4 linked regions of the Stegostoma tigrinum genome follow. The protein of the gene in region 2 interacts with the protein of the main gene of each other region in a pairwise test. Links are inferred from orthologs where the notes say so. Each region holds a gene or a part of one and is shown on either strand. Other genes may lie near its edges.

Region 1 (7,067 bases), on a different chromosome or scaffold from region 2:
GTAGCCTTTCTTATTCACTTGCTGGGTATGGTCAGGATTCGTTGCAGTTGTGCTTGAGAACATGGTAGTGAACTGCATTCCATCTGCTTTTAGTAGACTTACACAAGGAGGGAATTCCAGCATTTTGATCCAGTAACAGTGACGGAATGATGATATATTTCCAAGTTAGGATTGTGACTGGTTTGGAGGGGAATTTGTAGGGCGTGGGATTCCGGTGTATCTGCTGCCCTTGTCCTTTTAGGTGGAAGTGGTCATGGGTTTGGAAGGTGCCTTTGAAGGATCTGTGGTTAATTTCTGTAGTGAATCTTGTAGACAGTATGCACTATTGCCACTGAGCATTAGTGCTCGAGAGAGTGGATATGGTGCCAATCAAATGGGCTGCTTTGCCCTGGAAGGTGTTGAACTTCGAGTGTTGTTGAAGCTACTTCCATCCAGGCAAGTGGAGAGCATTCAATCATATCCCTGATTTGTGCCCTGTAGATGGTGGACGGGCTTTGGGAGGGTCAGGAGGTGAGTTACTCACTGTTGTATTCCTAGCCTCTGACCTGGTCTTGCAGCCACTGTACTAATTTGGCAAGTCCAGTTGAGTTTCCAGTCAATGGTAATCCTCAGGACATTGATAGCCAGGGTAGTGTGGATTCAGCTCCTACATCATAAGGTTTTAAGCTTCTTGAGTGCGCACATCCAGACAAGTAAGGAGTATTCCCTCACACTCCCGACTTGTGCCTTGTAGATGGTGGACAGGCTCTGGGCAGTCAGGAAGATGAGTTGCTCACTGCAATAGTGGGGATTAGTCATGGTAACTTAATTGAATATTCAAGGGGTGATGATTACATTGCCTGTTATTGGAGATGCTGTTTGTTTTGCATTTGTGTGGTGCAAATATTACTTGCCACTTATCAGCGCAAGCCTGAGTATTGTCCGGATCTTGCTGTATTTGAACATGCACTGTTTGAATATCTGAGCTATCATGAATGGTGCTGAACATGTATAATCATTGGCAATTGGCCTGTGTGGCACCTTATCAAATGCCTTTGGGTATGTAAGTTCGCCTTCAGGGCCTTGAAACATCAAGATGTCTTAGAAAAGATATTGATCAACAGCTACTTTTATCCAACTCAGCAAATTGCAAAAAGTGCACAAAGCATGAGTGAGGGCGATAGAATTGGAGGTGGTCCTCCATAGATGTCCAAGCTAACAATTCAGGAGAAAATTTCAGTGATCAGTTGTATTTTGACATTCCTGGTGATTTTGAGTCCCTTGATTCAACTAGTCTGGTGTTTATAAAGTCGTGTGATTACCAAGATTATACATTCTAACCAAGAAACACGTCAGAAGCGGAACAGGATGTAATACCAGAAGTTAGAAAAGTAGTGCAGAGGTCACCAGGTTGTCTTTCATTTCCCCAGGGTAGAGGACACCTCATTGTGATCAACAAATATAGCAGACTAGATTAAATGAAGTGCAGGTGAATTCCTGCTATCTCTGGATGTTGTGTCTAGGGTTTCGGATAATGAAGGAGGTGGTAAACAGTCAGACAGTGTACCACCTTGCATAGCATGAGAGGGCGCTGCAGTGTTGAGAGCAGAGGACAAGTGAACTGTGTTTCCTGGGGAATGGTCATGCGGATTGCTGACAGGTGTGGGTAGGTGATAGACATCTGGTGGCACCCTGACCCCCGAAATGGTGGCTTATGATGCTTCGGATATGAAGGTTGGTGGGTGTTTCTGTTTTTCAAATCTCCATCTCCCACAGTTATTTGTTGGATTATTTTTCTTGGAACCTATCCAAAGTACTCTGAATTCTCTTCCTCATGGCCATCTCTGCCAATCTGCTTTTCCCAAATCTACATTAAGATGAACAGTAGCCATGGTTAACATACTACCTTTGTTATAGCTGCTGTTTACGGACCTCTTTACTGCTGCTACCAGTGCAGCCTTCTCCTCGTTATTTCTTACCACCACCCATGTGTATCTTGTACGCTGTAAATAAAAATCATTTCTTGTCATTCTACTTTCCTGTACCAACATTTCCAACCACCATCCTTGCTTCCTGTCTGTTCCTTTGAAAAGCCATGTAGCCCTGAATATTTATTTCCCAGCTTTGAGTTCCTTGTAAATAATAATGGCTATAAAATCATACCCATTAACCTGTGGTTGGGCATACTCTGAATGTTACATGCATTCAAGATACTGTCTGTGACAAAGCAGTCCACTTGATTTGCACCGCATCCACAAATATTGAATCCCTCCGTGACTAATGCTCTGTAGCTGCGTTATGTACTGTTTGCAAGGTGGACTGCGGAAATTCGCCAAGTCTCCTTTGGCAGAACTTTCCAAATCCATGACTGTTAGGATTTAGGAGGAGAAGGACAACAATTCTAGTTGAGCACGCGTGACAACAAAATCTAATTCCAATCACTTTGGCCCTAAATACATGGGAACACCACCACTTTACAAGCAACTCACCATCCATACATAGTTGAAGATTGGAATGTGTACAATGTTGCCATGTGTGAAATGGAATCAAGAACAGTAAGCAGTTAATCCCAGAATGACAAGCTGACCAGACCTATGCCCAGTGACTCTGTGAGATATGGAGACATGCACTCTGCGCAGTAGTTTTGTGACGTGGAGGCCAGAAATGAGCACAGTAACTCCTTTTATTAAATGAAGGTGATGACAGTGTGCAGCAACTATCGTAGTGCTTTTGGGACCAAAACTCTGTAAGTGAAAACAGAGTGAATAGAAGCGAGGTAGGCAATTTGGCCTAGCAATCTGCTCTGCCATTCAACCACCATGACACCATTTTCCCACACTATCTCGGTATTCTTTATGACCTTTAATGTCCAAAAGTTTCTTGATCTGCCTTTGGAGTATTTTCAATTCAATATTTTCAATACACTTGAGTCCTCTTGGGTCGAGAATTTTGAAGATTCACCACCCACTGGGTCAGGAGTTTCCAAGTCATGTCAGTCCTAAATAGGTTGGCTGTTTTTCCTGAGACCATGTCGGCTGGCTCTTGACCCCGCTGCCTGCCAGGGGAGTGTCCTTTCTGCAACTTTCCTCCATGCTTCACTGGACTTGTCTGCCATTTTTCCAGACTCTTGAGGGCGCAGGTCCAGTTTCCTCAATTCCTGAGGAATTCCCAAGTCTCAACGTGCCAGTAACGATATGTATCTTCCTGTTTCAGTCCCTCGATGACAGCCCAATCGAGGAAGATGAAGAAGCTCTCAGAGAGGAAGATCATGATATCGACCAGTTCAACGAGGACACGTTTGGGCCTGGGGCAGTGGGTAAGTCAAGGCCTTTGCGATTTGTTCAGATGCCCACTCATTGTTCATTTTCAGATATTCTATTCTTGACTCCCTCTACCTCTGACTGCCCTTACTGTGACTGGGGTCTAGCTGCCGCTCACACTGTGACAACACAACAGTAGCAGTGTGTCTGGGCTCTGTGCTGTAAGTGCTGTTCCTGGGGATGCATACCAAGTCAAATAGAAACTACTGCTGGTGGAGGGTCATCAGTTTGGTGGAAAGCACTGATTTAACTGCTGGAAGCTTGTGAGTTTTTGACCCACAGCAGCCCCTTAGTCCAGGAACCCATCAACCCCTTTGAGAAGTACTCTAGTTATTAAATGCAGTGCAAGTATGTTGAAGCACTTACTGCAATATGCTCAATGGAGATAATGTTGAGCATTGTTGTATTTTCTGTAATGCCTTGTTTGAATTGTTTTGGAATACACTATTGGCGATTTTATGAAAAAGCTACAGTCTACAAAAGATACTTGAGAACTCAGATTTGAGGAGGTCTTTGAGTATCAGTACATTGGCTGTGTGTTATGGGTGACTGTCTTTAGGCAGTGGGCCGATTATGATTTGGGAGACTTGTATTTACGGTTGGATTGCTCCTGAATGAGGAAGTTAGCTCAGAACGAAAGCCTAAGCTCCATCTGATGCTCTTGAGTTTGGCTTTTGCAGAGGACTGGGAGGAGCAGCACGATGGCCTGGGCGATCCGACAGGAGATCCAGACGACCTTTTAAAGGAGAACAACTTGGCGGAGAGCATCAGCAAGCTGGTCATCGACAGCGACCTGGAGGACCCGGCCATCATGAGGGCAGTGCCGTCCCACCCTCCGCTGCAGGTGGGTCTAGCCTCGTGTTTGCGGTGTCACACAGCACCAGCTCTCTGTCCCTCCTTGTCCAGTTTCAGTCAGGCTGGATTTTAGAGAGACACTGCTGCTGTATGATCCCTACCTGTTTAAAAGTCTCTCACTGACCCCTGCAACTTGCTCACAGGCACCCCCTCGACTGAACTCGAGCATGTGGGAAGGGCCCATGGTGTTCGGTGGAATCGGAAATCCTTTTCTTTCCCACTTAGAGGTAAGTAGATTTGCTTGTTTATTTCACCTCGATTTCTGCTAACTGAACTTTGCTGCTTTCTTTGTTAACAGCATCAAAATTAATTTCCTGCAGCTACTGCCTGAGGATGTGCATTCCTTTGGAGAACAGTCCTTCTGCTTATTTAAAATTGGGTTGGGGGGGGTGGTGGTGTTGTGATGTTGGTGGTAATGCATGGTGTGTGTGTCTCGTTGACTCATCCCTATAAAATAGGAGGTGCAGTTCAAAAAGGGGAGCAGGAACAGGGCGTATAAATGCACAGACCATTGAAAATGTCAGAACGGGTAGCAACATCAGCAAAGAAAGCACACGTTTTCGACTTTTTATCAGGAGGGCAGGGAGTACAATAAATCAGACCTGCTGCAGATAGATTACATGCTAAAAGTGGCAAGGATGGTGAATAAAATTGTTATTTAGAATTGGTAAAGTTAGTTAAGCATTAGGATGCTTTGCTGGAAGAATGAAATTGAAAAGAACTATACGTATAGAGGTTGGTAGAATTGTGCTCTGTTCTGACCTCTTTTTAAGAAGGGTTGAGGAGCATTGGAGTAAGTGTAAAGCAAATTTGAAAGGGCAATATTTAGCTGAAGTCATCCAGTATGTGACTAATAGGGCAGGTGTTGTCCGGGCTCTGACCCTGTGATGATAGTTCATTTTCTTAGCAATATTGTTGGTCAACCTGGGAAGAAATCAAGGTGCTTTATCTGTCTGTGCACACTCAGCACCAGCTTACAACTAGATTATGGTTTATCCCTCATCCCCAGATGTGTTACTGTGGTCCTCACACTCAGTCTCTAGTCTGCAGCTGATTTAGACTGATCTCTCACCCTCAGCATGTTAGTGAAGCCCTGAAACTCAGCCCTCAGCTTATTGTTGAGGTGGTCTGATCGTACATCCCCACTTGTGGCAGGATAAGGCCCTTGCAGCCCTTTCCTAGTGTAGATGCCAATCATCAGTCAATTCAGTTCACTCCGCATAATTTCAAGAAATGGTCAGACATACTGAAGAGGCTATGGGCCCTAACAGCATTCCAGCAATAGTACTGGAGACCTGCGCTCCAGAGCTTACCACTCCCCTCACCAAGTTGAACCAAGCAGGTGAACCTGACATTAGTGGTGGGCAGGTTGTTGGAGGGGATTCTGAAAGATAGGATTTACATACATTTGGAAAGGCAAGAGCTGATTAGGGATCGTCAACATAGCTTTGTGTGTGGGAAGTCATGTCTCTCTAATTCGATTGAGTTTGAAAAGGTGACGAAGATTGATGAAGGCACAATGGTAGACATTGTCTAAATGGACTTTAGCAAGGTGTTCAGTAAAGTTAGGCATTGTCAAGTGGTTAGCAAGGTTGGGCCACATGGAATCCAGTGGGAGCTGGCCAATTGGGCTTGAAGCTAGGAGACAGAGTGGTGGTGGAGGGTTGCTTTTCAGACTGGGGGGCCTGTGACCGACCAGCGGTGAGCCACAAGCATCGGTGCTGGGTCCACTGCTTTTGAATGATTTGGATCTGAATACAAGAGGACTGGTTAGTAAGTTTGCAGATAACACCAAAATTGGGGTACTGGACAGTGACCTCAGAGTACAACAGATGGAATTTAATTTTAATAAATGTGAGGCTTTGCATTTTGAAAATACAAACCAGGGCAGGACTTGTACAGTTAACAGGAGGGCCCTGGAGAGTGTTGGTGAACAGAGACCGGGAGAAGCAGGTGCATACATGTGCATAAAAGTGGTGTCGCAGGAGGACAGGATAGCAAAGAGGGTGTCTGGAATGGTTGCCTTCATTGGTCAGTGCATTGAGCACAGGAGTTGAGATGTCAGGACATCGTTCAAGCCGTTTTTACGATACTGTGCTCAATTCTGCTGTCCCTGCTATCCAATGGATGCTGTAAAACTTAGAGTCATAGGGATGTACAGCATAGAAACAGACCTCTTCAGTCCAACTGATCCATGGCATAAGTGTGTGCTATTTCTAAGATGCACTGCAGAAATTCACCATACCTCCTTTGACTGTACCTTCCAAATGAATGGGACAGGTAGATAGCTATGAGCACCCCATCCTCAAGTTCCCCTTTAAGCTCCTCATCATCCTGACTTGAAACACACTGCTGTCCCTTCAGTGTCATTGGGTCAAAACAGTGGAATTCCATCCCTAAAAACGCTTGGACTTCTTTTTATTCATTCATTCACAGGATGACTGTATTGCTGGCTAGGGCAGCATTTATTGTCCACCCCTAATTGCCCAGAAGGCAGTTAAGAGTCAGCCACATTGCTGTGGGTCTGGAGTCACATGTAGGCCAGACCAGGTAAGAATGGCAGTTTCCTTCCCTAAGGGACATTAGTGAACCAGATGGGTTTTCCCAACAATTGTCACTGGATTCATGGTCATCATCAGACTCTTAATTTCAGCAATTTATTGAATTCATATTTCGCCATATGCCGTGGCAGAATTCGAACCAGGTCACCAGAACATTATCTGGGTCTCAGAATGACCAGTCCAGTGATAATACCGTTAGAGTGCAGTGGTTCAAGAAGGTAGCTAACCAATGCATTGTCAAGAGCATCTAGGTACAGTCAATAAATACTGGTTTTGATGTAGGAAAAACTACTGTCCCCAGAGAGCAATGAGAATCTGAAACTTGCAATCACAGACTGAACTTGGTGTGAGC
Region 2 (7,804 bases):
GCTCAATAGCTATAACTAGAAACCACACCCCATAACAATGTGATTTACATGGAAGTTCACAGTATATATGGCTCAGAAAGAGGCCATTTGGTGCAAATAGTCCATACGTTTATAGTCAATTTGAGCCTCCTCCAATTCCTCATCTAAATCTACAGCCGTAAATGATACATTTCTTCCTCAAATGCTTGAGTAGTTCTCACTTAAAACCATCGGTAGTATGCTATTTGTTTCAACTGCTCATGTGGTAGCAAGTTCCACATTCTTACCATTCTTTGGGTATTGCGGTTTCTTCTAGATGTCTTGGTGGCTATTTTATATTGGTGGCCTTTATTTAAATTCTTTCTCAAAAGTGGAAATATTGAGCATAATTTAAATGTAATCCATGCGGGTTGAGACCACTGGTTGGAGGCCTGTTGGGAAAACTTTGTCATTCAGTAGGATGTTGAGGGGGAGGCAACTGAATGTAGTACCTAGCCAGTGTAGTAATTGGAATGCAGTCAACTGGGTGGGTCTTGTAGAATGTGTTCCCTGATTGGGGCTGTAAATCTGGGCCAATCAGGGAGTCCTGGCTGACAGATATAAACAGGAGTGTCAGGAGTTCTACTCACTCTAGGACATGAATTTGAACAGGCTGGGTCAGTGTCTTGTACTATGTGCATGTAAGTAAGGGGTGACTTGGTAACAGGATACCATCAACACACACTTGATCTATGTACAGTTTATGAATGGAAGAAAACTCATCATTGTAAACTCCCTTGCCTTTTCACTCTGTACTGTCCAGACAGAATGGGCTACAAGACACCAAGAAACAAGCAGAAAACACACCTTTCATGAGAGAGAGTTTTCACCTGACGTTCCTGTTGCTGGATCCTCTGTCAGTAGAAAGGCTGTTGCATGTCCTCCAAAAATTCACAACCAAACAATATAAGGTGCACAATTTGTACAAAAGAAGACACGAGAAAAATGAGTGCTTTGTTTGTCAAAAAGAGCAAAATGGTCACCTAATGTTCTTAGGGGAGAAAAAAAAGAAAGAAAGCAAATAAATAAACAGGAGTATTATGGATTCTACTCACTCTAGGAGTTGGCTCTGAACTAGTTGGGCCAGTCTCATGTACTATGCACATGTAAATACAGGGTGACTTGATGACAGGGTAGCAGCCTTCATCGAATTATTTCAGCCAATATCTCCAATAATTATCTCCTCTGGCACAAATATCCAGCGTGTCCAGAATTGTCAGCGAATCTGAGGCTAGCAGCTTGCTACCATTGCAATACACCACTAGGGGGTGGTGGAGAGACTTGAGACTGCAGCCAGAAAGACACCAAGCTGAGACATGACTGAGGGTGGGCAGCGGCGAAGGGAACACTGGTGTGAATGGAGTACTGACTAGACAGGGTGTCTGGGATGCTCAGCTTTGCCTCGAGGGAGGGTCTTGGCTCATAGAGGCAATCATTGGGAAAATGGCAAGACCTACATGCACCAGGAGGGAAGACACAGTGTATACGAATAGTTGTGATACAATGAGGATGGGCGGTGGATGGATTCAGGAAGTGTGGGCAGTTGGGAGAGTTTTGGAGATCAATTGCACACGAGTACTGGGGTTTGGGAATTCTGAAGAAAGCTATTGATGGAACTGTGGTCAGATTGAGTGTTGGCAGGAAGGTACAAGTTCTTTGATAGGTGAAAAGAGACTGTGTGCATTAAGGAGGGCCCTCAGTTGTTGTGGAAGAGTAAGCCACCACACTAGGAAGAGTGCACATTGGGATGACTAGTGAATATCAAGATCTCAGAATGAATAACTACAGTTGGGAAACACTCACTCTGGGTGGGAATGTAAATAGTTTGGAAATCTCTTTGGAAAGCAGTGCCAGGACAGATCAAGAAATAAAACAGAACTTGCTGGAAAAGCTCAGCAGGTCTGGCAGCATCTGTGAAGGAACAAACAGAATTAACATTTCAGGTTGGCTGCCCCTTCCTGCATCCGCAGTTCTTCCGTTTTTTTATACAGATCAAGAAATGTTTGGGAAAATGGGCCAGGGAGGTACTTAGTGGCGTGGAATACAGCCAGGATAGGAGATAGGAAATGAGTGCTTGGAACAGGTAAATTGATAATTCACAAGATCATGCAACTTTTGGATGTATTTTTCAGTTTCAGGAAGCAACTTAGAAATATTAAATATTTAAGATTGTTTTGATTTGTAGCAACACACGACATCTGATGTGGGATTTATGATTTGTGACATAATCTTGGGCATACTGACTGATGAATTCAACCATATGATACCCATTTTCCAAGCCAAAACTAGCTCAGTCAATCTCTAATTTAGCAGCTGGAAACGTGTGTGCATGTCTGTTCCAGGCAGATTGGTGAGGCAAATGTGTTCAGGGCATATGCTTGAAACGGGCAATTAATTTCAAAGCAAGCTGGGGGTTGGTGTGGTGCTCACTCTGTTTGAAATTCCCACAGCAGGTTGCTTTGCCCAGTTCTGCCTACATTCAGTAAAATCAGCTCCTGGGGCTGCATACAACCAAATTTATTTATACAAATTTATTTGCTTGAACACAGAGTCTAATTTTCTTTATACCTAGAGCTCCACCCACGCCCCCCTCCCACCACCACCAATCGCCTTTTATTTTGAAAGTTTTCCACTCGGCACACTTCAGATTCGCCTCGGCCTCCAACACTAGCCTCCTTGTCACTCACCTTTGGCACTCTCCACCAATATAAAACCTAACCTCTCAACATGCCCCAGCAACCACTCCCTCCTCCCAACATACATGTAACAGTTGCTTTCCGGAGAGACCACTCTCTCCGTGACTCCCTTGTTCGCTCCACACTGCCCTCCAACCCCACCACACCCGGCACCTTCCCCTGCAACCGCAGGAAATGCTACACTTGCCCCCACACCTCCTCCCTCACCCCTATCCCAGGCCCCAAGATGACATTCCACATTAAGCAGAGGTTCACCTGCACATCTGCCAATGTGGTATACTGCATCCACTGTACCCGGTGCGGCTTCCTCTACATTGGGGAAACCAAGCGGAGGCTTGGAGACTGCTTTGCAGAACACCTCCGCTCAGTTCGCAACAAACAACTGCACCTCCCAGTCGCAAACCATTTCCACTCACCCTCCCATTCTCTAGATGACATGTCCATCATGGGCCTCCTGCACTGCCACAATGATGCCACCCGAAGGTTGCAGAAACAGCAACTCATATTCCGCCTGGGAACCCTGCAGCCTAATGGTATCAATGTGGACTTCACCAGTTTCAAAATCTCCCCTTCCCCCACCACATCCCAAAACCAGCCCAGTTCGTCCCCTCCCCCCACTGCACCACACAACCAGCCCAGCTCTTCCCCCCCACCCACTGCATCCCAAAACCAGTCCAACCTGTCTCTGCCTCCCTAACCGGTTCTTCCTCTCACCCATCCCTTCCTCCCACCCCAAGCCGCACCCCCATCTACCTACTAACCTCATCCCACCTCCTTGACCTGTCCGTCTTCCCTGGACTGACCTATCCCCTCCCTACCTCCCCACCTATACTCTCTCCACCTATCTTCTTTACTCTCCATCTTCGGTCCGCCTCCCCCTCTCTCCCTATTTATTCCAGTTCCCTCTCCCCATCCCCCTCTCTGATGAAGGGTCCAGGCCCGAAACGTCAGCTTTTGTGCTCCTGAGATGCTGCTTGGCCTGCTGTGTTCATCCAGCCTCACATTTTATTATCTTGGAATTCTCCAGCATCTGCAGTTCCCATTATCTCTGATACATGTAACAGTAATTGATCCTGGCATTTCTTTACCCAACCAGATCTGCCATCATTTACCTGAGGGTCACTGCAATGTTGGAGAACTGGCTCGGTTTCATCTTCATTGGCACTGTTAGCCTGATGCCTGGGGTTTAGGTTGCCTTGGGATTATATCATTTGGGCACAGGGCAATGCACCAAGCTTAGAATTGGCCAAATTTCTACGTCTCTATTTTAAATCAATGCAATGGGGCTTGTTTGGTTTGGAGCTCATTTTTGCCAGTTACATCTGTGTTTCCTTTACTCCATGTAAAGTATGTAAACTGTTATTAAATATTTGAAATGTTTTACAAAATGAAAGGGCACAACCAGTTGGTCAGCGTCTGAAGAAACCGGATATGCTTCTGACTCATCAGGCAGGGATCCTGACTGGATCTTGCTGATGTGCTCCCAGATCTTAGTCTTGTTCAATCTTCCTGACAAACTTGTACATTTCTAACCATTTTCCGTTTGAATTTCAGATTTCACTCATCTTACTTGTATAGAAGCACTCGTTGCCTCTGCTGGTTCATAGTGTAAATTAGTGACATCATTAGGACTTCATTCATATTGAAATAGGTTACGTGTGCCCTAGGTACAAAAGCTACTGCATTTTGTGTTGAATAGGAATAAATCACCAGGGTTCCAGGGGATAAAACACATAATTTAGTTCTCGGGAAGGTTGGCACCAGATCTTTCCAGCTGCGATTCTCTTCAGGAGGAAGTAGCATTCACCTTTCTTTCGTTTATCTTGGACCAGGCTGCAGCAGTTGCCTCTTTGATATGATCACTTTGTTATAATGGGCGGATTGAGTAGGTGTTGATGGTGTTATCAGTGTGTAGTGATCGATAGGTCCAAGGTGCCATTTAGTCACACCTCGCGGCGTCAGTCAGTGGAAGGAGGCTCAGAGATGGTTAGTTGTTTGCTAATAACCTTGGCTTGGATACAAGGGTTTTCAGGGCGGGATCCCGTGAGTCACTTCCTGTACTTGTTGGGCCCCTAATCTTCCCTCTGTTCTGCCAGAGCCGTCAGAGCCAAGCCTGCTTCTCTTGCAGACTGTGTCAGGAGAACTCTAACCACTTCCCAAGCAGGAAAAAGCAAGACAAAGCTTTTCAGCACAGTGTGCCTTTGAAGCATTTATGTTAAAGCAGTGCTTTGATCACTGACCTGAGTTCATTGAAAATACAGTTGGTAAGTGTCCAATTTTTTTACTCTCTTGATATCTGACAATCTACTGTTACTAGCGCCGCTCGTGCAGCTTCTGACTCTCTGTTAGGAAACCACCTGGAGTTATGTGTTTTAGGTAGTGTTTCTAAAGCTCCCTGAATGTGCTTTGCCCTGCAGATTATACCCTGCTACAGTGTGGTTCCCCTGGCTATGTAAAGTCATTGAGGCCGTCGTTATGCGTAGATTAAAGCGGAGAAGAAACTGCACATTTTGTTGGCAGCTTCTCTTCGACTTTATGTGGAATGTACAGTTTACAACTGCACTTAAAGGGTCGCCTGTCTTTTTGCTGTTCCTGACCACTGCAATTACCCTTTTGGCGCTTCAGGGCAATTGGTCGTATTTTAAGCAAAATGCCATTAAGCGTCTCAGGTCATCAACACTCAGACACTACAGAACTGAACTGCTACAGTTTGAGGAAAACTGCAGTATAACTGCCTTAATCAGGGCACATGCGCCCACTGTTACTGAGACACCCACTGATTGACATTTACAGAGTAAATGTGAGCTGTGGGACTCCAGAGACAAGTTCTAAAGAGGGGAGTCGCTTTGCAAATTGCAGAGTTTTTCTTTTGAAAGTGAAGCGATATACATCGACTTTCAACAGTTTTACGAGTCCTGAAAGTGCTTCTCCCCCTCGCTCCCGTTATCCTGCTATTTCGTATTAGGTTACCAGCCCAGCATTCATCCTGGACATTCCCTTTTCCTCAGCGGTTTGGCGCAATTTGATACAAAGACATTGTCAAAAGCTAATCGCTTGAGGTCCAAAGAAACTCCGCAGTTTAGACGTTTCAGTAAATCTGTGGATTTTAATGAATGGCGAAGCCCTGCTATGATGCAATCTAGAATTATCCATGCAATCTGAAACGTTTGCGACGCAAAGGAGGAATTTGTCAATTTCGCTTGACGTTTCAAGCTTTCAAATTGGAACACAATTACTTCCAGTTTTAAGTGGAAAAAGATCTGCTGAGTGGATCGGGATGGCGAGAAGATGTGGGAATTGACGGAGCCATAATAAAAGCAAGACAGTGTGGTTTGGAAATAATTAATTTCTTAAAGCAGACCTCTCTCTTGAGTGTAGCACATACTCTGGGAGTCACCTTCCCACGGAAAATGTAGAGAGTACAAACGAACTGTAACTAGTTTCAGAGCAATGTGAAAAATGTGTGATTTCGGTGGGGTCTCTGGTAGACCCTGGTTTAAATATAATTTCCTCCAGCGCCAAGTTAACACACACGTTTACTATGAATGGGCGAAAAAAATGCATTGACAGTTTGGGCTTTTGATACCAGTTCAATCAATATTCCACCAGGAAAAGAAACCCCACCCCCAAATTTCAAGTTTGGATTAAACTGCTTGAACGGCTCGGTACTACAATTCAGGATTTTTTTAAAAAAATCACCGTTTTAATATCTAGATAATAATATTCACTGAAGTTCCAAAAGGGATTTATATATAAAATAGTTTGAGACGTTTGACATATTCGGCAATACATAGATTTCCATGTAAATTTAGAGGCTTCAAATGGCAATTATTTTTGGTAATCAAAGATTCTGACTGGAAATGTATACTTGCTGTGTCACTTTTCAAACAAGTGTCTGTTTCCCCTAGTTTTCCACAGCATTATACGCAAGTGGTCAATTAACATTAGTCCGCGGGTCGGGAATGTGACCCGGGACTGTAGTGGATGAGTATTAGAACCAAGATTATTTTTCCCTCTATAACCTTTAAACACTGAGGTGAACTACACTGGCCCCCATTAACACTCTTCCTGAGATGGATAATGCACTATAGATTATTCTTGTTTTGCCCTTGAATGATGAGGGAATGCTCAGGTGATCTGCTCCTTCGCTAGCCTGACAAAAGTTACACCCTAATTTTCAGAATACCAATTAACTAAATCTGACAGTTTTACAACTCTGTACGTGAGCTGTCAGGTGAGAGACAAACATTTGTATAGCGCTATTTATAATCTCAGGTCATCCCAAAGTATTTTACAGATGGACATACATTTGAAGTTTAGCCAAACAACCAACTTGCACTTAAAAGACTCCTCATTAACAGCAATGTAATAACGACTGGCTGATGTTTTTCTTGTGATGTGAAACAGTGGCAAGGACACCAAGGTTGTTGCCATGGAATCTCTTATGCCCACCTTAGAACAGAAGCAGAGCCTAATTTTAACCCTTGTTCTGCAAGATGGTATCTCTGACAGGATTATTCTCAATTGGCAACTTAGACTTTATGCCCAAGTCACCAGAGTAACCCTTCACAGAATCTCAGAAATGTCACAGCACGGAAAGAGGTCATTCAGCCCATCATGTCTGCACTGGCTCTTAAAATGAGCATCCATTGTCTGCTCCCAATTTCCTCCTTTTTTCCTATGCCCTTTGGACATTATTTCTATCCAAATATCCTTTAGACCTGCTGAGTTTCTCCAGCAATTTCTGTTTTGAATCAATTGAACCTGCCCCCACCACTTCCTGGCTATATTCCAGACGCTAACTACTCACTGTGCGGAAGTGTTTTTATTTGCATAACAATCTTTTACAAATCATTTTAAACCTATGCCCCTTGTTTTTCTTCCTTTTACAAGCCGAAACAGTTTCTTCCTATCTACTGTATCGAGTCTGTTCATTATTTTGGGAACTTCAATCGGATCTCTTAACCTTCTTCTCTCTAAGGAGGTCAATCCCAACTTCTTCCATCTATGCTCCCAACCAAAGTTTCTCAATCCTGAAACCATTCTTGTAAATTACTTCTGTGCTCTCCATTGCATTCACATCTTTCCCA
Region 3 (7,937 bases), on a different chromosome or scaffold from region 2:
GGAGATAAGCAGGCAGAAAATCACCCAATGTCAGAGTTGCATTACAGGCCAGAACGTGCCTCTTTTTCATGACATGATGCTGTATTTCAGGAATGAAAGGCCCCAAAACCACCAACAATAACTGAGAAGACAGTAAGTCTGTAAAGTAAGACAGACATTGTGCCAGGTGAGTGAGGGAGATAGGGTGCTAGGTAAATGAGGGAGGTAGGGTACCAGGAGGGTGCTCATGGTAGGTTGCAGGGAGGAACAGTTATTGTCAGGGAGCGGTATTGGGTCCAGCAGGGCCAGACTGGGTGGGAAGATGGTACCAGCTCAAGTAGATTGGGGATTTAGGCAGTGCTGGTGGGGTTGGATCTCTCGTTCAGCTTGGGTCAGGGATGATGGATCTTAGCATCAATAGGAACACATTGGGTGATGGGAGAGGTGAAGTGAAGGAGAGGGTGGCAATAACAGGCCAGCGAAGAAGGGGGTTAAGTTAGGGGTATAGGATGTTACTCTGGGTATGTTAGGGTTCAGCAGCTGTCGTAGTGCCAATGATGATATTGGGGGAAGAGTTGATAGTTACCAATGGCAAAGAAATGTTTTTTTTACCTTTCTAGAGTAACTATTGAGCTTAAATGAATTTGAGCCCTCCATTAATTGACATTAATTGACTCTTTTGAAGGAGTCCAGACGCAGGACAATCACCCATCAGAAAATTTAACTTCCTGGGCAATTCTCAAGGGTTCTACACATGACTCCTGTCAATCCTGCTCCAACAAATTTTCAGGCCACTGTAGTACTGCAACAAACTTATCTGATATTCCTGACTTAATATTCAGGCAAGTTGAGGCAGCAGAGTGGTTCAGTGGTTAGCACTACTGCTTCACAGTGCCAGGGACCTGGATTCGATCCCAGCCTTTGGCAACTGTGTGGAGTTTGCACATTCTCCCTGTGTCTGTGCGGGTTTCCTCCAGGTGCTGGGGTTTCCTCCCACAGTCCAAGGATGTGCAGGGTAGGAGGATTAGCCATGGAATTTATAGGGTAAGGTGTGGGTCTGGGTAGGATGCTCTTCAGAGAGTCAGTTTTGACTCAATGGGTCGAAAGTCCTGCTTCCACACTGCAGGGATTCCATGAAGCCAGTCTGAATTTTCCAAAGACTTCAGTTCTAATTCAATCGGGGAGCCTTTCAGTGAGTTCCAGACCAGGTAACCGCCCATCAAGAGTTTCCATTTACTGTACAATTCCCATGTATTCAATTCCACATGCTCCAGGTGAACATCATTCAGTGTACATCCAGCCTCCAACTATCCTCACCATTGAGCGTTAGGACAGTCATTTCCCAGGACATGATACCAGCTAGAATTTCTGTCTGTTCTTACTTTTTGACTAATTTACAACAGACTCGGCATGTTGACAGCTGCAAAATAATTTAGTTCAAATACTTCTCACCTCAAATTTTCGGGGAGGATGTTTTTTGATGATGCTCCTTTCCCCATCATCCAAACTGCTTTCAAATGAGAAGGCACGAGGTACTTGAAAGGTGAAAATATAAAGAAAAACATAGAGTCACACAGTTTTTACAGCACAGGAAAAGGCCCTTTGTCCCATTCACATCCATGCTGGTCATCAAGCATTATATTAAAGTCCAATTCAACCTTCCAGCATTTGGCCCATTGCCTTATACACACTTGCATTTCAAGTAGATATCTAAATATTTCTGAAATGTTTTGATGATTCTTACCTGTGTGATTTATTTTTTTTAATTCCCTTTAAATCTACTGCTGCATACCTTAAATCTGTGCCAATGCAGCTCCTCCCCACCCCATTAGTGACCCCCTTCCTAAGGGGAAAGTTTGCTATGCCCTTCATAACTTTGTATACCTCAATCAGGTTCCCTGCGTCTCCCTCAGCCATCTTTAGAAAAAACACAGCCTATCTCGGATAACAAGGTGTAGAGCTGGATGAACACAACAGGCCAAGCAGCATCTGAGAAGTAGGAAGTATGTTTCGGTCCTAGACCCTTCTCCAGAGATGGGCCTATCTCGTCTCTCTTCATAGCTGGATCGCTTTATCTTCAAACATCTTGGTGATCTCTGGTGCAATCATATCCTTACTATAGAGCGGCGCCCAGACCTGCACACAGCTCTCTAGCTGCGGCCTAACTCATCTTCCTTCCGGCTTCATCGTAGCCTGCCCTGGTCTTGTAGTCAATACCTTGACCAATAAAGGCAAGTATCCTACATGCTCCTTCGCCAGCCGACCTGCTGCCTTCAAGAAACTGTGGACTGCCACATCAAAATTCCTCTGATGGACAGCACTTCCAAGCGTCCTCGCAGGTCGCCATGTCAAACACTAGCAGCACAAAAACACCAATGACCTTTTTTGCCGAAACAAACGCTAAAGTTATATGTAAATTTGGATAATAATTAACAAAGTGAAATGCACAAGGAAACTGACAAATCCTTGAGCTCCCTGATCTGTAAGAAATTACAATCAACTGTGGAGACAGAAGTTAATGGACTTGAAAAGCTGCTGAATGGAAAATGTATTTGCACAAACAGATTCTCTTGTAAAAGGCTGCTCTTCCGCCCAACGGAGTAATGGAACTAAATAATCTGGAGATTGTACAAAACACCAACTTTACGAATCTTTCGCTAATCATCCTCTGTGAAAACAAAAAACGATTCAGAGAGAGTGAATACTATAAATCCTGCTGAACGTTGACATTGCTCAAGCCCCCTCCCCGCTCCGAGCCCACATTGCACCTACCTTGCCTGAGGTTGGGTAGTGCGTGAGTGCCATTTCGCACCTCCTTCAGGGGAGGAAGTTCGCTCCCTCGGCGCAGAGAGGCTGCCTTCAGGTGGTCGTGTATCACAAGCGAGCTGTCTACCCGGCTGCTGCCGTACCGCTGCACTCCGGGGCAAATAGCCGCCTGGGCTGCGGGTAGCGGCCTCACCTGGATCAGCTTGCGTTGGCCTCTTGACCATCCCGAACCCATCTTCGCCCATGCACTCTCTAAGCATCAGGACAAGCGTGTGTGAGGTGCCGGTCTGAGTCTGCCTTGGAGATTTCCATTATAATCAACTACAGCTTCCCCGGGGAGGCTTTCTGTTACCGAGGTAACGCCCCTGTTGCAAACTCTTCCATCTCGGGTTAAAGAGTTACCATCCCCGCTCCGGTCTGCAGCCACCCGCCCCCCAAGTCTCTGAAATGCTGAACTCAGTCATGCCTGACCTACAAACACTGGCAGGGAATAATCCGCTCTTAAAAAGCAATTTGCATCTGGATAGCATGCTCCTTACTTTGTTCATCGCTGTCTTTATTTTACCATCGAAGGGCACACTGGAAAAGTTAACGGAAGAGGTCGTGTTGTGACAATAAAACAAAGTATTGCGGATGTTGATTTGAAACAAACATAAACTGCTGGAGAAACTGGCACCATCTGTGAAGAGAAAGCAGGGTTAATCTTTCAAATCTAATGAGCCTTCTTGTGCCCTTCTCAATATTGCTCAGAAAATTTCATTCCCCATCTTCATCCTGGCATACTATACTCATCTCTGAGAGCATTAAAAATGACAGCAGGAGTAGGCCATTCAGCCCTGAGTCTCTTCTGCCTTTCAAGGAGATCATAGCTGATCTACTTCAACACTATTTCCCTGCACTATCCCTGATTCTGTTTTAAGATGTAGAAATCTATCAATTTCAATTGTGGACATAATTAAACAGCAATCCTCCATAGTCTCATGGGTCAGAGGATTTCAAAGATTCACCACTTTCTGGGTGAAGAAATTCTTTCCCAGCTCAGTCCTGAATGGTGTGCCCCTGCCTCTAAGATTGTGTCTCCTGGTTCTTGACACCCCAACCAGGGGAAACATCATTCTTGTATCTACGCTGTCAAGCTTTGTAAGAATTTCCCCTGTTTGAATGAAATCACCTTTCGTTCTTCTAAACTTCAGGGAATATAGGCTCGTCTGATTTCCTCTTATAGGACTAAACAACCATCCCAGGAATTAGTTTGGGGAACCTTTGTTTTACTCACTCTGTGACAAGCATATCCTTCCTTAGGTAAACATACCAGTATCACACACAATATAGCTCTGAGGAAGGGTCACCAGATCCGAAACGTTAACGCTGTTTTTTCCTTCACAGATGCTGCCAGATCTGCTGAGCTTTTCCAGCAAATTTGTTTTTATTCCTGATTTACAGCACCCGTAGTTTTTTTTGGTTTTTATCATACACAATATACCAAATGTGAACTCACAAAAGATCTGCATAATTGCAATAAGACATCTTCACTCCAATACTCATATCCTCTTGTAATAAAGGTCAATATGCCATATGTTTTCTCAATCACTTGTTAACTTCTGACAAAGGTCAGCTAAGAAGTGTTTCCTCATTTCATTAACTTATTGTACCTCTTATCAAATTATAGAATAGACAAAGCACATATGAAAGCTACTTGGTCCTTCAAGCCAATGCTGGCTCTCTGCAAATAGTATTGCACTTCCATTTCAAAAGCTATGATTGAATCCACCAATCCATTCCAAATCAAAACCCTGAACTACATAAAAATGGTTTCCCTCAAGTTGCCTTTGATTATTTTGTCAACCATCTTAACTCAGTATCCTCTGCTTTTTGACCCTTTCACCAATGACAGCAATTTGTCCCTAACTCGATCAATCACAAATTTGAACAACTTGAAACAACTCTCAATATTCTCTAAAACTAATCCTAGCTTTTGTATCATTTAACTGAAATCCCTCATCCATGAAACTTTTGCATAAATCTTTTATACTCCCTTTCTAAGTTGAGGTCAAACCCATGTTTATAAAGAGGCATAATAATTTCCTTGTTTATTCCATGCCTCTATGTTAATGCTCAAGGTCCTCTGGGCCTTTTTACTAATATTCTCAAACTTGTCCTGGAATCCCCAACTAAAGGAAATAGATTTATTATACCTGTTGTCCTGAATCTCTTTAACATTTTCAAGAGTTGATTGGACCATTGCTTAAGCTTCTGCAGTCAAAAGAATGCAAACCACATTTATGTTGCCAGTCTTAATAATTTAACCCTACTGTTTCTAGTATCACTTGAGCACGTCTGCACTGTATCCCCCCCAAAACAATGTATCTTTTGCAGCATAGAGAGCCCTTGCCATGTGTCAGTCTCATTTTAAAGACCTTTTTTTTTCCAATTTGTAGGCGTGGGCATCGCTGGCTGGCCAGCATTTATTGCCCATACCCAGTTATCCTTGAGAAAGTGGTTGTGAGCTGCCTTCTTGGACTGTTGCAGTCCTCTTGCTGTGGGTTGACCCACAATGCTATTAGGGAGGGAACCCTAGGATTTGGACCCAGTGACAGTGAAGGAATGGCAATATATTTCCAAGTCAGGATGGTAAGTGGATTGAAGGGGAACTTGAAGGTGGTGGTGTTCCCATTTTTCTGCTGCCCTTGTCCTTTTAATTGGAATTGGTTGTGGGTTTGGGAGGCACTGTCTGAGAATCTTTGGTGAATTTTTGCAGTGCATCTTGTAGACAGTACACACTGCTGCTCTGGAGAGTCAGTGGTGGAGGGAGTGAATACTTGTAGATGTAGTGCCAATCAAGCGGGCTGCCTTATCCTGGATGGTATCAAGCTTCTTGTGCGTTCTTGGAGCTGCACCCATCCAGGCAACTGGGGAATATTCCATCACATTCCTGACTTGTGCCTTGTAGACGGTGGACAGACTTTGAGGAGAGAGGAGGCAAGTTACACACTGCAGTAATCCTAGCTTCTGATCTGCTCTTGTGGCCCACTGAGTTTATGTAGTGAGTCCAGTTGAGCTTCTGATCAATGATAACTTCCATGATATTGACAGTTGGGGCTTCGGTGATGGTAACGATTGAATATCAAGTGATGATGGTTAGATAGTCTCTTATTGCTAATGGTCATAGCCTGGCATTTGTGTGGCATGAATGTTATTTGCCACTTGTCAGCCCAAATCTGGATATTGCCCTGATCATGTTGCATTTGGAAATGGACTGTTTTGGTGTCTGAGGAGTTGTGAATGGTGCTGAACATTATGCAATCATTGGCAAACATCCCCCCCTTTGACCTTGTGATGGAAGGAAGGTCATTGATGAAGCTGCTGAAGATCATTGGGCCTAGGACACTACCCTGAGGAACTCCTGCAGAGATGCCCTCGAGCTGAGATGATTGACCTCCAACAACCACGATCATCTTCCTATTTGCCAGGTATGACTTTAAACACTGGAGAGTTTGGCCTCTGATACTCATTAATTCCAGTTTTGCCAGGGCTCCTTGATGTCACACTCGGTTGAATGCCGCCATTATGTCAAGGCTGTCACTTTCATCTCTGGAATTCAGCTCTTTTGCCCTTGAACCAAGGCTGTAATGAGGTCGGGAGCTGAATGGCCCTGGTGGAACCCAAACTGGGTGTCACTGAGCAGTTTATTGCTGAGCAGTGGCTGCTTGATAGCACTGTTGATGACACTTTCCATCACTTTACTGATGGTTGAGAGGAGATTGATAGGGCAGTAATTGGCCTGATTGGATTTATCCTGCTTTTTTATGTACAGGACATGCTTAGGCAATTTTCCACATTGCCAGGTAGATGTCAGTGTTGTAACTGCACTGGAACAACTTGGTGAGCAGAGCAGCAAGTTATGGAACTCAAATCTTCAGTACTATTGCTAGAACGTTGTCACAGCCCATAACCTTTGCAGTATACAGTGTCTCCAACCGTTTCTTGATATCAGGTGGAATGAAATGAATTGGCTGAAGACTGATATCTGTAATGCTGGGGACCACTGGAGGAGGCCAAGATGGATCATCAACTGGGCACTTCTGGCTGAAGATTGCTGCGAAAAGACTGCAGAGCTTAGATCTGATCAGTTGGTTATGGGATTGCTTAGCTCTATCACTTGGTGCTTTTGCTGTTTGGGGTGAAACTAGTCCTCTTTGGTGGCTTGCACCAGGTTGACACCTCATCTTCAGGTAATGGTTGAGTGGGGAATATGCCGGGCCTTGCGGTTACAGATTGTGCTGGAGTACAATTCTGCTGCTGTTGATAGCCCATAGTACCTCATGGATGCCCAGTCTTGCGTTGCTAGATGTGTTCAAGTTTGTCCCATTTAACACGATGATAGTGCCACGAAGCATGATGGAGGTTATTTTCAATGTGAAGGCAGGACCTTTTCTCCACAAGGACTGTGTGGTTAGTCTTACTGATACTGTCATGGACAGATGTATCTACAGCTGGTAGATTGATGAGGAAGATGTCAAATAGGTTTCCCCCTTTTGCTGGTTCCCTCACCATCTGCCGCAGACTCAATCCAGTAGCTATGTTCTTTAGGAGCCGACCAGCTTGATCAGTCGTACTGCTCCCAAGACATTGAAATCCCTCACCCAGAGTACGTTTTGTTCCCTTGCCATCCTCAGTGCCTCCTCTAAGTGTTGTTCAACATGGAAGAGTACCGAATCACCAGCTGAGGGAGGATTGGGCGTGGTAATCAGCTGAAGGTTTCCTTGCCCATGTTTTAAAAACATTAAAAAAATTTGTAGAACTGACAGCACAAATTTCCCATGCATTAACTGGGACATTTAAACAGTGTTCAAATAGTCACAGTGTGATAAATATATGAAAAAGCAGGACACTTTTACATGTGCTCTATCAGTCTTTTATTTTGATTGTGTTAGAATACAACTGAATGCAGTAACAACAATCAAAAGGAAAAAATGTTCTTTTTAACCAAAGACCATATCATTAAATAAATAATAAAAAACCCAATGCAAGGACCTTTACAAAAACTTTATTTGACACTAACACCCATTCCCATGTAATTTTATAAACTTTAAATTGCAATAATGTTGTTTTTAATAATTTATTAACTGTCATACTTATATTGTATACCATAGATCTTTGCTTCAAAAAGTAATACTGTCATAATAGCATAC
Region 4 (8,112 bases), on a different chromosome or scaffold from region 2:
ATTTTGCTATAATGTTGAATAATACTCCAGGCTTTCATTTTAAAAAAAAAAGCTCATGATCCTAGATGCCATTTTCTCCCCCCTCACCCTATCTTACCACCTGCAACTTAGTGAACAAATACCTCTGGATCCCCCTGCACTTGCATTACCTGTATAAACTGTATTTGGTTATATACAGGCCTTTATTTTTAAAACTGTAGGTTTGTGAAAAGTAATTTTGATCTGCAACTTTGAATTTAGGCTTGGGTTAGCAGGACCTTGAGTTTAACTGTACACTGTCAAAAGAACACAGAGATAGTAGGAAATGCAGATGCTGGAGCCTGAGATAACAAGGTGAGGAGCTGGAAGAACACAGCAGGCCAGGCAGCATCAGAGGAGCAGGAAGGCTGACATTTCAGGTCTGGACCCTTCTGATGCTGCCTGGCCTGCTGTGTTCTTCCAGCTTCACACCTTGTTATCAAAAGAAGTCCTTGTGTTTCTGCATGAGCTGTAGTCTGTGAAATTTAAAATAAAACAGGGACTTTATCATTTTAGTCAGTACTACTTACAGCCCAGATAAAGTAGGTCAGCAATTTGCCATACCACTTAATTTTAACCAGAGCTGTTCCCTTGGCATTGAAATGCTGCACAGAACATTTGGAGGTCGTGTAAACGCAGTTTCTGAACACATCATTTACCCAACCATAGAGATTAAACCTTTACACCCCGCACCTTCTCTGCGAGGATAGAACAGGCCTAACTTGCATTTTATTTTGCAGTGGCTGCAGTTATAACTGAAAAGGCACCATTTCCACTCAGCCCTCTCCAAGTCAAACAGGCTGAGTGGGGACAGAGCACTTAGGGTCACACAACACAGGGGCTGTCTGCCCAAATGATGCTGAAGCATTCCCTTCGGATTTACAAGAGTAGAATTAGAAACAGCAAACTCACAACCATGCCCAGAACATCCTTGTAAAATCTGGCAGTCCGAGCCCGGTCTCCCACTTTAAAAACAAAATGCAGCGCCCTTCCCAGCACCATGATGGCCAGGGATGAAGCTGCAACGTGCCTCACGTGACCGATTGATCATGTGATCGACCGATCACGTGATCCAACCGCGCTTTGCTACATATGTCCCTGGATCTCGTCGAGTGAAGTTAACTGTTCAAACGGCTGTAATCTCAGTGTTATCGGTTCTACCCTCCGGGAAACAAACAAGAAGCAAACAGCTTCCCAAACTCTGAAATAAAGTCACATGTACTAGAAACACCCATCGGGGTCATTTATAAGGAAGGATCATCGATCCTGAAACGCTCGCACTTGTTTCTCTCCACAGATGCTGTCAGACCTGCTGAGATTTTCCAGCAACTTCGGGTTTTTGTCTCTGATTTCCAGCATTCACAGTTCTTCTGGGTTTTCATTTCACTCTGGGAATGTTTCAAGTGGAAAGTTCCAGAGGAAGATGTAAAGATGGGAAAGAGAAGGTGTCAGCCCAGACCATTGTCTTGAGTGTCCTAATCAGACCATCACATGGTGGACGAATTATTAACGTGAAACTATTTGAGGAATGAAAACAAGTGAAATGCTTAGTTCAAGGATAATGTCGTGCGACTAAGGATGAATATCTTGGGCTTATCATTGACCAAGGGCTAAACAGGACTAGCCATATAAATGCTAGCTAGAAGAGCAGGTTAGAGGCTGGGAATTTTGTGGTGAATTACACACCTCTTGACTTCCCCAAAGCCTGTCTACCATCTACAAGGTACAAATCCCGAAGGTGACAGAAATATCCCCATCTATCTGAGTGGGTGCAACTCCAGCAAAGTTAAACAGGTTTGAGATACCTAGGATAAAGCAGCCAATTTGGCTAGCACCCTATTCAACACCTTCAATATTTACTCCCTCCAAAAGCAACGCACAGTAGCAGCAGTGTTGTTTGCACAGCAACAATTACTAAGGCTCCTCAGGCAACACCTTCTGAGCCCACAACCATTAGGAAGACAAGGACACTTGTTTCATGGGAACATCACCACCTGCAAGTTCACCTCCAAGCGACGCAACATCCTGACTTGGAAATATATCGCTGTTCCTTCACTGACACTGAGTCAAAATCCTCCCTAGCAAAACTGGAAAATTTTTTCCCCTTCCAAAAACAAAGCCTGCAGTTCCAGAAGAGGGCTCACCTTTACTTCTCCAGAGCAATTAGGGATGCGCAATAATACTGGCCCACTCAGTGAAGCTGACATCCTATGAATGAGTAAAAGAAATGTATATTACCAACAACTGTAAATCAATAACAAGTATCTTCCGCTGGATCTCTGGTTTTGCTTCAAATATTACCCTAACATTTGTGATGACCTGTCATGTTATACCTCAGGAAATAGCTAGACTACGATCTCTAACCCATGATAGTTAACATTAAATAACACTCAGCAATGTGAACACGGGCTCATTTATCCAGCCCAGAAGGAGCCAAGGTTAACAGTATTTGCAACAGATATGGAGAAGCTAATTTTACCTCGAGGCAGCTAGATTAGCATAACTGCCTTGCTCCAGGGGGAAAGTGAGATGTTATGAGCTCAGATCCCACCTTGGAACAGGCTCAATTGCTTCCACTCATCGGAGAGATCAAAACTTAAGGTCTATTTAAATCCAGTAAGAAGAACTTTTGTCTAGAGAGTGGAGAGAATGTAGAACTCTATCAGCGGGAATAGTTGAGACAAATAGCATGGATGTATTTAAGACAGGATTTCCCAAGTGGTTCATGAGCTGAAATCTTAGGACAGGTCACTTGGCAGTCACTCTACATCACAAACCACTTGTCTACCCACTGAGCTAACCAAACGCTGTGACTGATGGGGATTTTTTTAATCAATTAAAAGTTGACAAATGTTCTTTCCCCAAAAGCCCAAAAATACAAAGGAACCATCACAAATCAAATTGAAATGACATTTCAGGGGGATGCAGTAGTCAAAAATGTCAGTAAAACAGATTTCAAATTCTTTTCAATTCGATCAAAGAAACAAACAAAGAAACCTACAGCACAGGAACAGTCCCTTTGGCCCTCCAAGCCTGTGCCGATCAAGATCCTCTGTCTAGCCTGTCATCTATTTTCTAAGGGTCTGTGTCCATTTGCTCCCCGCCCATCCATGTACCTGTCCAGATACATCTTAAAAGACGCTAACGTGTCTGCGTCTACCACCTCCGCTGGCAACGCGTTCCAGGCACCCACCACCCTCTGCATAAAGAACTTTCCTCGCATATCTCCCTTAAACTTACCTCCTCTCACTTTGAACTCATGACCCCTAGTAATTGAGTCCCCCACTCTGGGGGGGAAAAAGCTTTTTGCTATCCACCCTGTCTATGCCCCTCATGATTTTGTAGACCTCAATCAGGTCCCCCCTCAATCTCGGTCCTTCTAATGAAAATAATCCTAATCTACTCAACCGCTCTTCATAGCTAGCACCCTCCATACCAGGCAACATCCTGGTGAGCCTCCTCTGCACCCTCTCCAAAGCATCCACATCCTTTTGGTAATGCGGCGACCAGAACTGTACACAGTACTCCAAATGTGGCCGAACCAAAGTTCTATACAACTGCAACATGACCTGCCAACTCTTGTACTCAATACCCCACCCAGTGAAGGAAAGCATGCCATATGCCTTCTTGACCACCCTATTGACCTGCGTTGCCACCTTCAGGGAACAATGGACTTGAACACTCAGATCTCTCTGTTCATCAATTTTCCCTAGGACTTTCCCATTTACTGTATAGTTCGCCCTTGAATTAGATCTTCCAAAATGCATCACCTCGCGTTTGCCCAGATTGAACTCCATCTGCCATTTATCTGTCCAACTGTCCAGTCTATCCATATTCTGCTGTAATTTCTGACAGTCCCCTTTACTATCAGCTACTCCACCAATCTTAGTGTCATCAGCAAACTTGCTGATCAGACCACCTACACCTTCCTCCAGGTCATTTACATATATCACAAACTGTGGTCCCAGCACAGATCCCTGTGGAACACCACTGGTTACAGGTCTCCAATTTGAGAAACTCCCTTCTACTACTACCCTCCGTCTCCTGTTGCCCAGCCAGTTTTTTATCCATCTAGCTAGCACACCCTGGACCCCATGTGACTTCACTTTCTCCATCAGCCTGCCATGGGGACCCTTATCAAACGCCTTACTGAAGTCCATGTATATGACATCTACAGCCTTTCCTTCATCAATCAACTTTGTCACGTCCTCAAAGACTTTAATTAAGTTGGTAAAGCATGACCTTCCCTGTACAAAACCATGTTGCCTATCAGTGATAAGCCCCTTTTCTTCCAAATGGGAATAGACCCTATCCCTCAGTATCTTCTCCAGTAGCTTCTCTACTACTGACGTCGGGCTCACCGGTCGATAATTACCTGGATTATCCTTGCTGCCCTTTTTAAACAAGGGGACAACATTAGCAAGTCTCCATTTCTCTGGGACCTCACCCGTGTCTAAGGACACTGCAAAGGTATCTGTTAGGGCCCCGGATCAGTTGCAGATATTTATCAATTTTAAAGTGGAAATGGTACCTACTGGCAAGGCTTGATGTGGAGGTGCTGGTGTTGGACTGGGGTGGACAAAGTCAGAAATCACTTGACACCAGGTTATAGTCCAACAGGTTTATTTGAAAACAGCAGCTTTTTCAGCGCTCCTTTTTCAGGTGTTGGTGAGAGACGTAGTATCAGGCACAGAATTTATAAGTAAAAGATCAAAGGGTCACACCATTGATGAGGATGTACTAAACAAACCTAAGATGCTGTTAAATCTTTAATCAATGAGAAGATTTTAATCGATTTAATTGAGATAACTGAAGGCAGTGTAATGAAGAGGTGACGCTTTAGGAGAGACAATGCATGTTAAGTATGAGGCCTTGCTTAGAATCTGTTTGTGTTTTAATTTGCAGTCAGATTGGTTTTATTTCTCGAGTAGAAATTGATAAAACGCCACAACGACTGACGGTCTCTACCTCAGGTAATGTGTTATTTTGAACTGGTTCTGGGAACGAGCAGCGAGACTTGTACAGGTCATGTGACCCCGGGGAACCGATAGAGGTCACCTGACTCTCAGGGGTTTGTTACATGGCCGCGCAGGCGCATTGGTGCCCGCCTAGCTGTCATGGCGGCGCTCTGGAGCAACGTTCCCCGGTGGGGAGCTGCTTTGATCCCGGGGGCTCGGCATCTCCGGGTCTTGAGGAGGAGGCCGATTGAGGTTCTGTATCCCCAGAATGAGGAGGCCGCAGCCGCTGGCCGGGCCGGAGAGGATCGTAGTCGCCCGGTGGCCGGGAGTCAGCGCGGCCCGGTGGCCAGGAACCCTGAGCCGGCCCCGAGAGGCCAGCCCCGGCCGCCCTTCGGCCCCCATTCCCTGGACGGACTGTCGTACGAAAAGGCGTTTCCCGGCGACAAGCGGCTAGCGTAAGAAATAGCGCTGAGAATTACGCGAGGGGAGCCCGAAACCTGGAGTCTTTCCCCTTCAACCCCCCACCCCATTCCTCCTCACAGCCTCTCCTGGTGTTACCGGTACTCCGTCACCCAGCACTAGCTCCTGGTCCTCCAACATCTCCTTTTTATTAATAACAAAAACAGAAACTACAAGGAAAACGCATTTATGGTAGCAGGGTCTCTGGAGCCGAGGAAACAACTCTGCTTCCTCTCCACGCTTGTTGCCAGGCCTGCTGAGTGGTCCTAGCAGTTTTTGTTTCTGATCCACGCCTGCGATTTTTTTTTTGTTTTCTCTCTGTTTTATCTTCAAATCCTTCCATGGTGTCATCCCTCCCGACATCTGTAACCTTCTCCAGCCACATAACACGCCACGATTTCCATCATTCTGTAATTCTGGCCTGTTGGGCATCCCTGACTTGAATGGTCTTCTCCCCGCCCCCTTCTCATGGAATGAGAGCACTACTGTCAAAGTAAAAATGTTGCCCTTGAAAAGCTGGAGCTGAATGGAGCCACTGTATCTGTGTGGAGTAGCCTTTGGTTAATTGCTGTCAGCTCTGGTGTTTCCTTTCCTTCTGACTGTAAGAGGAGTTGATGATTTGGATCTTTGGTTCCCAAACAATCCATTTACTGAATGATTATCAGTCTTGACTCTGGGTCTGCTAAAGGGTAAAAAGAGAGTTATTGTTGCCATTAGGGCAGCAACTGTGTTTATTAGGCTATTGCCAGTAAACACTGAGCCTGATGGATTGCAGTTTCTCTGTCATAACCATTTGAAAGTTCCCTTTTCTCTGTTTAGAACTTAATTATTGGCCTCTCCTTCCAATAGAAAAGTTGTGACCCTCGCCAAGTCCAAGAAGTTCCGTGAGCAGCACGGGAAGATCCTGGTGGAGGGTCGGCGATTGATAACCGATGCCTTGGAAGCTGGAGCGCTGCTGCAGACTGTCTTCTTCAGTTCAGTGGAGAGCCTGAGGGAGCTGCCTCTGGACAAACTGAAACGTGTCCAGTTAATAAAGGTCAAGTTTGAAGAGATCAAGATGTGGTCTGACCTTGTAACTCCCCAGGGAGCAATAGGTAAGTTGCCAAAGTAATTTCTTTGGATGCCCATTTTATTGGTGAGCCAAGGCTGTAAGAATAGTGTGGTGAAGGTGGTGTTTGGTACACCCTGCTTTTCTCCGTGCATTGAGTATAGGAGCTGGATGGTCATGTTGTGACTGTACAGGACATTGGTTAGGCCACTTTTGGAATAGTGTGTTCAGTTCTGGTCACCCTGCTATAGGAAGGATGTTATGAAACTCGCAAGGCTTCAGAAAAGATTTACAAGGATTGTGCCCAGTTTGGAGGGTTTGAGCTATACAGTGGGACTGGATAGGCTGGGGCTTTTTCCCTGGAGCATCGGAGACTGAGGGGTGACCTTATAGAAGTTTATAAAATAATGAGGGGCATGGTTAGGATGAATAGTCAAGTTCCCCAGGTTGGCGACTAGAGGGCATAGGTTTAAGGCAAGAGCTAAAAGATATAAAGGGCCTAATGGGCAACTTCTTATGCAGAGGGCGATGCATGTGTGGAATGAACTATCAGATGAAGTGGTGGAGGCTGGTACAATTACAACATTTTAAAAGGCATCTGGATGGGTATATGAATAGAAAGGGTTTGGAGGGATGTGGGTCAAAAGCTGGCAAATGGGACTAGATTAATTTAAGATACCTGGTCAGCATGGACGAGTTGGACGGAAGGGTCTGTTTCCATGCTGTACAGCTCTAAGACGTTATGCTGGGTGTCTTGAACAAGTTGTGATGAAATGAAGAAACAGTGGTCTGGAAAGATTGCAGCAAAAAGCAACCTTCACATATTACATTGCTTTCAAATGTTCCAAAAGCAGGAGTTATATCAAGGTGAGTGCGTATAAGAAACAAAAATTGCTGACGGACCTTTCAAAATTCCTCTGTTGTCCCTAAAATCATGGCTGCTTTGTTACTGTAATCCTTAATTTCCAGCCTATCCCCTAATACACAGAAATCTATTGAACCTTTGTTTTGTTTTTTCTTGAATGTACTCAGTCTCACAGGATCCAAGCTGTATTAGAGAATTCCGAAGGTGTGCAACCCCTTTTGATGACGTTCCTCCTTATCTCTGTCCAAAGTCCTTCTGAGGGTACCATGACCCAGTGTTCTCGTGTTTCTAACTACAGAAGCGTTTTCTCAGTACCCATCCTGTTGAGAGTTTTTGCACGTTCCAGTGAGATCTCCTCTTTCTCATCTGCAGGAAATGTGGGCTTGATATGTTTAATCTTTCTTCCTTTGGTTAATTCTCTTACCAAAGGTGTGAGCTAAGCAATTGTTATCGTGTTCTCCTTAGCCAAGAATGTATTTCCTTGGGTCTGTTTGTGCACAGCCACATTCCACAAAGCATTGAAATTTAATTGTGATTTTCTCTTTCATCCCAACTTTTGATGGGAGATGGAGGGATGTGAACGCGATGACTCCTTGCTTTACATCGGGTGATGTCTTGGCATCTTTAACCCACTGTGGAGCTCTACTTCAGACATTAATTTTCCCTGTGATGAACTGTACCTGTCGTATAGCAGGCTTTGAGCTACTGCAGAGAGAGAGATCCTTGTTAAATAGGTTCAGCAGAGGGTAGGGTCCCCGTGCATG

Evidence for each region.
Region 1: the proteins of fhl3a (region 2) and patl1 interact in binary tests that used the Homo sapiens proteins (3 or more experiments, as listed by UniProt). The two-hybrid records come from large-scale screens. The link is inferred for Stegostoma tigrinum from reciprocal best matches to the Homo sapiens genes FHL3 and PATL1.
Region 3: the proteins of fhl3a (region 2) and uncharacterized protein CCDC198-like interact in binary tests that used the Homo sapiens proteins (3 or more experiments, as listed by UniProt). The two-hybrid records come from large-scale screens. The link is inferred for Stegostoma tigrinum from reciprocal best matches to the Homo sapiens genes FHL3 and CCDC198.
Region 4: the proteins of fhl3a (region 2) and mrm3a interact in binary tests that used the Homo sapiens proteins (3 or more experiments, as listed by UniProt). The two-hybrid records come from large-scale screens. The link is inferred for Stegostoma tigrinum from reciprocal best matches to the Homo sapiens genes FHL3 and MRM3.

What each region holds. Positions count from the first base shown.
Region 1 is NC_081399.1:4,433,087-4,440,153, reverse strand, and holds the start of patl1 (protein PAT1 homolog 1), read left to right. Parts: upstream 1-4,001; 5' UTR 4,002-4,110; coding exon 4,111-4,143; intron 4,144-4,297; coding exon 4,298-4,381; intron 4,382-7,067. UniProt on the Homo sapiens protein: RNA-binding protein involved in deadenylation-dependent decapping of mRNAs, leading to the degradation of mRNAs. Acts as a scaffold protein that connects deadenylation and decapping machinery.
Region 2 is NC_081377.1:18,276,187-18,283,990, reverse strand, and holds the start of fhl3a (four and a half LIM domains protein 3), read left to right. Parts: upstream 1-4,761; 5' UTR 4,762-4,978; intron 4,979-7,804. UniProt on the Homo sapiens protein: Recruited by SOX15 to FOXK1 promoters where it acts as a transcriptional coactivator of FOXK1.
Region 3 is NC_081363.1:49,545,064-49,553,000, forward strand, and holds the start of uncharacterized protein CCDC198-like, read right to left. Parts: upstream 3,098-7,937; 5' UTR 2,981-3,097; coding exon 2,752-2,980; intron 1,515-2,751; coding exon 1,432-1,514; intron 1-1,431. UniProt on the Homo sapiens protein: May be involved in tuning the metabolism, energy expenditure, and excretion processes.
Region 4 is NC_081380.1:39,307,123-39,315,234, forward strand, and holds the start of mrm3a (rRNA methyltransferase 3A, mitochondrial), read left to right. Parts: upstream 1-5,088; 5' UTR 5,089-5,135; coding exon 5,136-5,431; intron 5,432-6,014; exon of another isoform or gene 6,015-6,089; coding exon of another isoform or gene 6,090-6,124; intron 6,125-6,284; coding exon 6,285-6,529; intron 6,530-8,112. Other genes in the region: glod4 (glyoxalase domain-containing protein 4), read right to left, coding at 931-1,020. UniProt on the Homo sapiens protein: S-adenosyl-L-methionine-dependent 2'-O-ribose methyltransferase that catalyzes the formation of 2'-O-methylguanosine at position 1370 (Gm1370) in the 16S mitochondrial large subunit ribosomal RNA (mtLSU rRNA), a conserved modification in the peptidyl transferase domain of the mtLSU rRNA.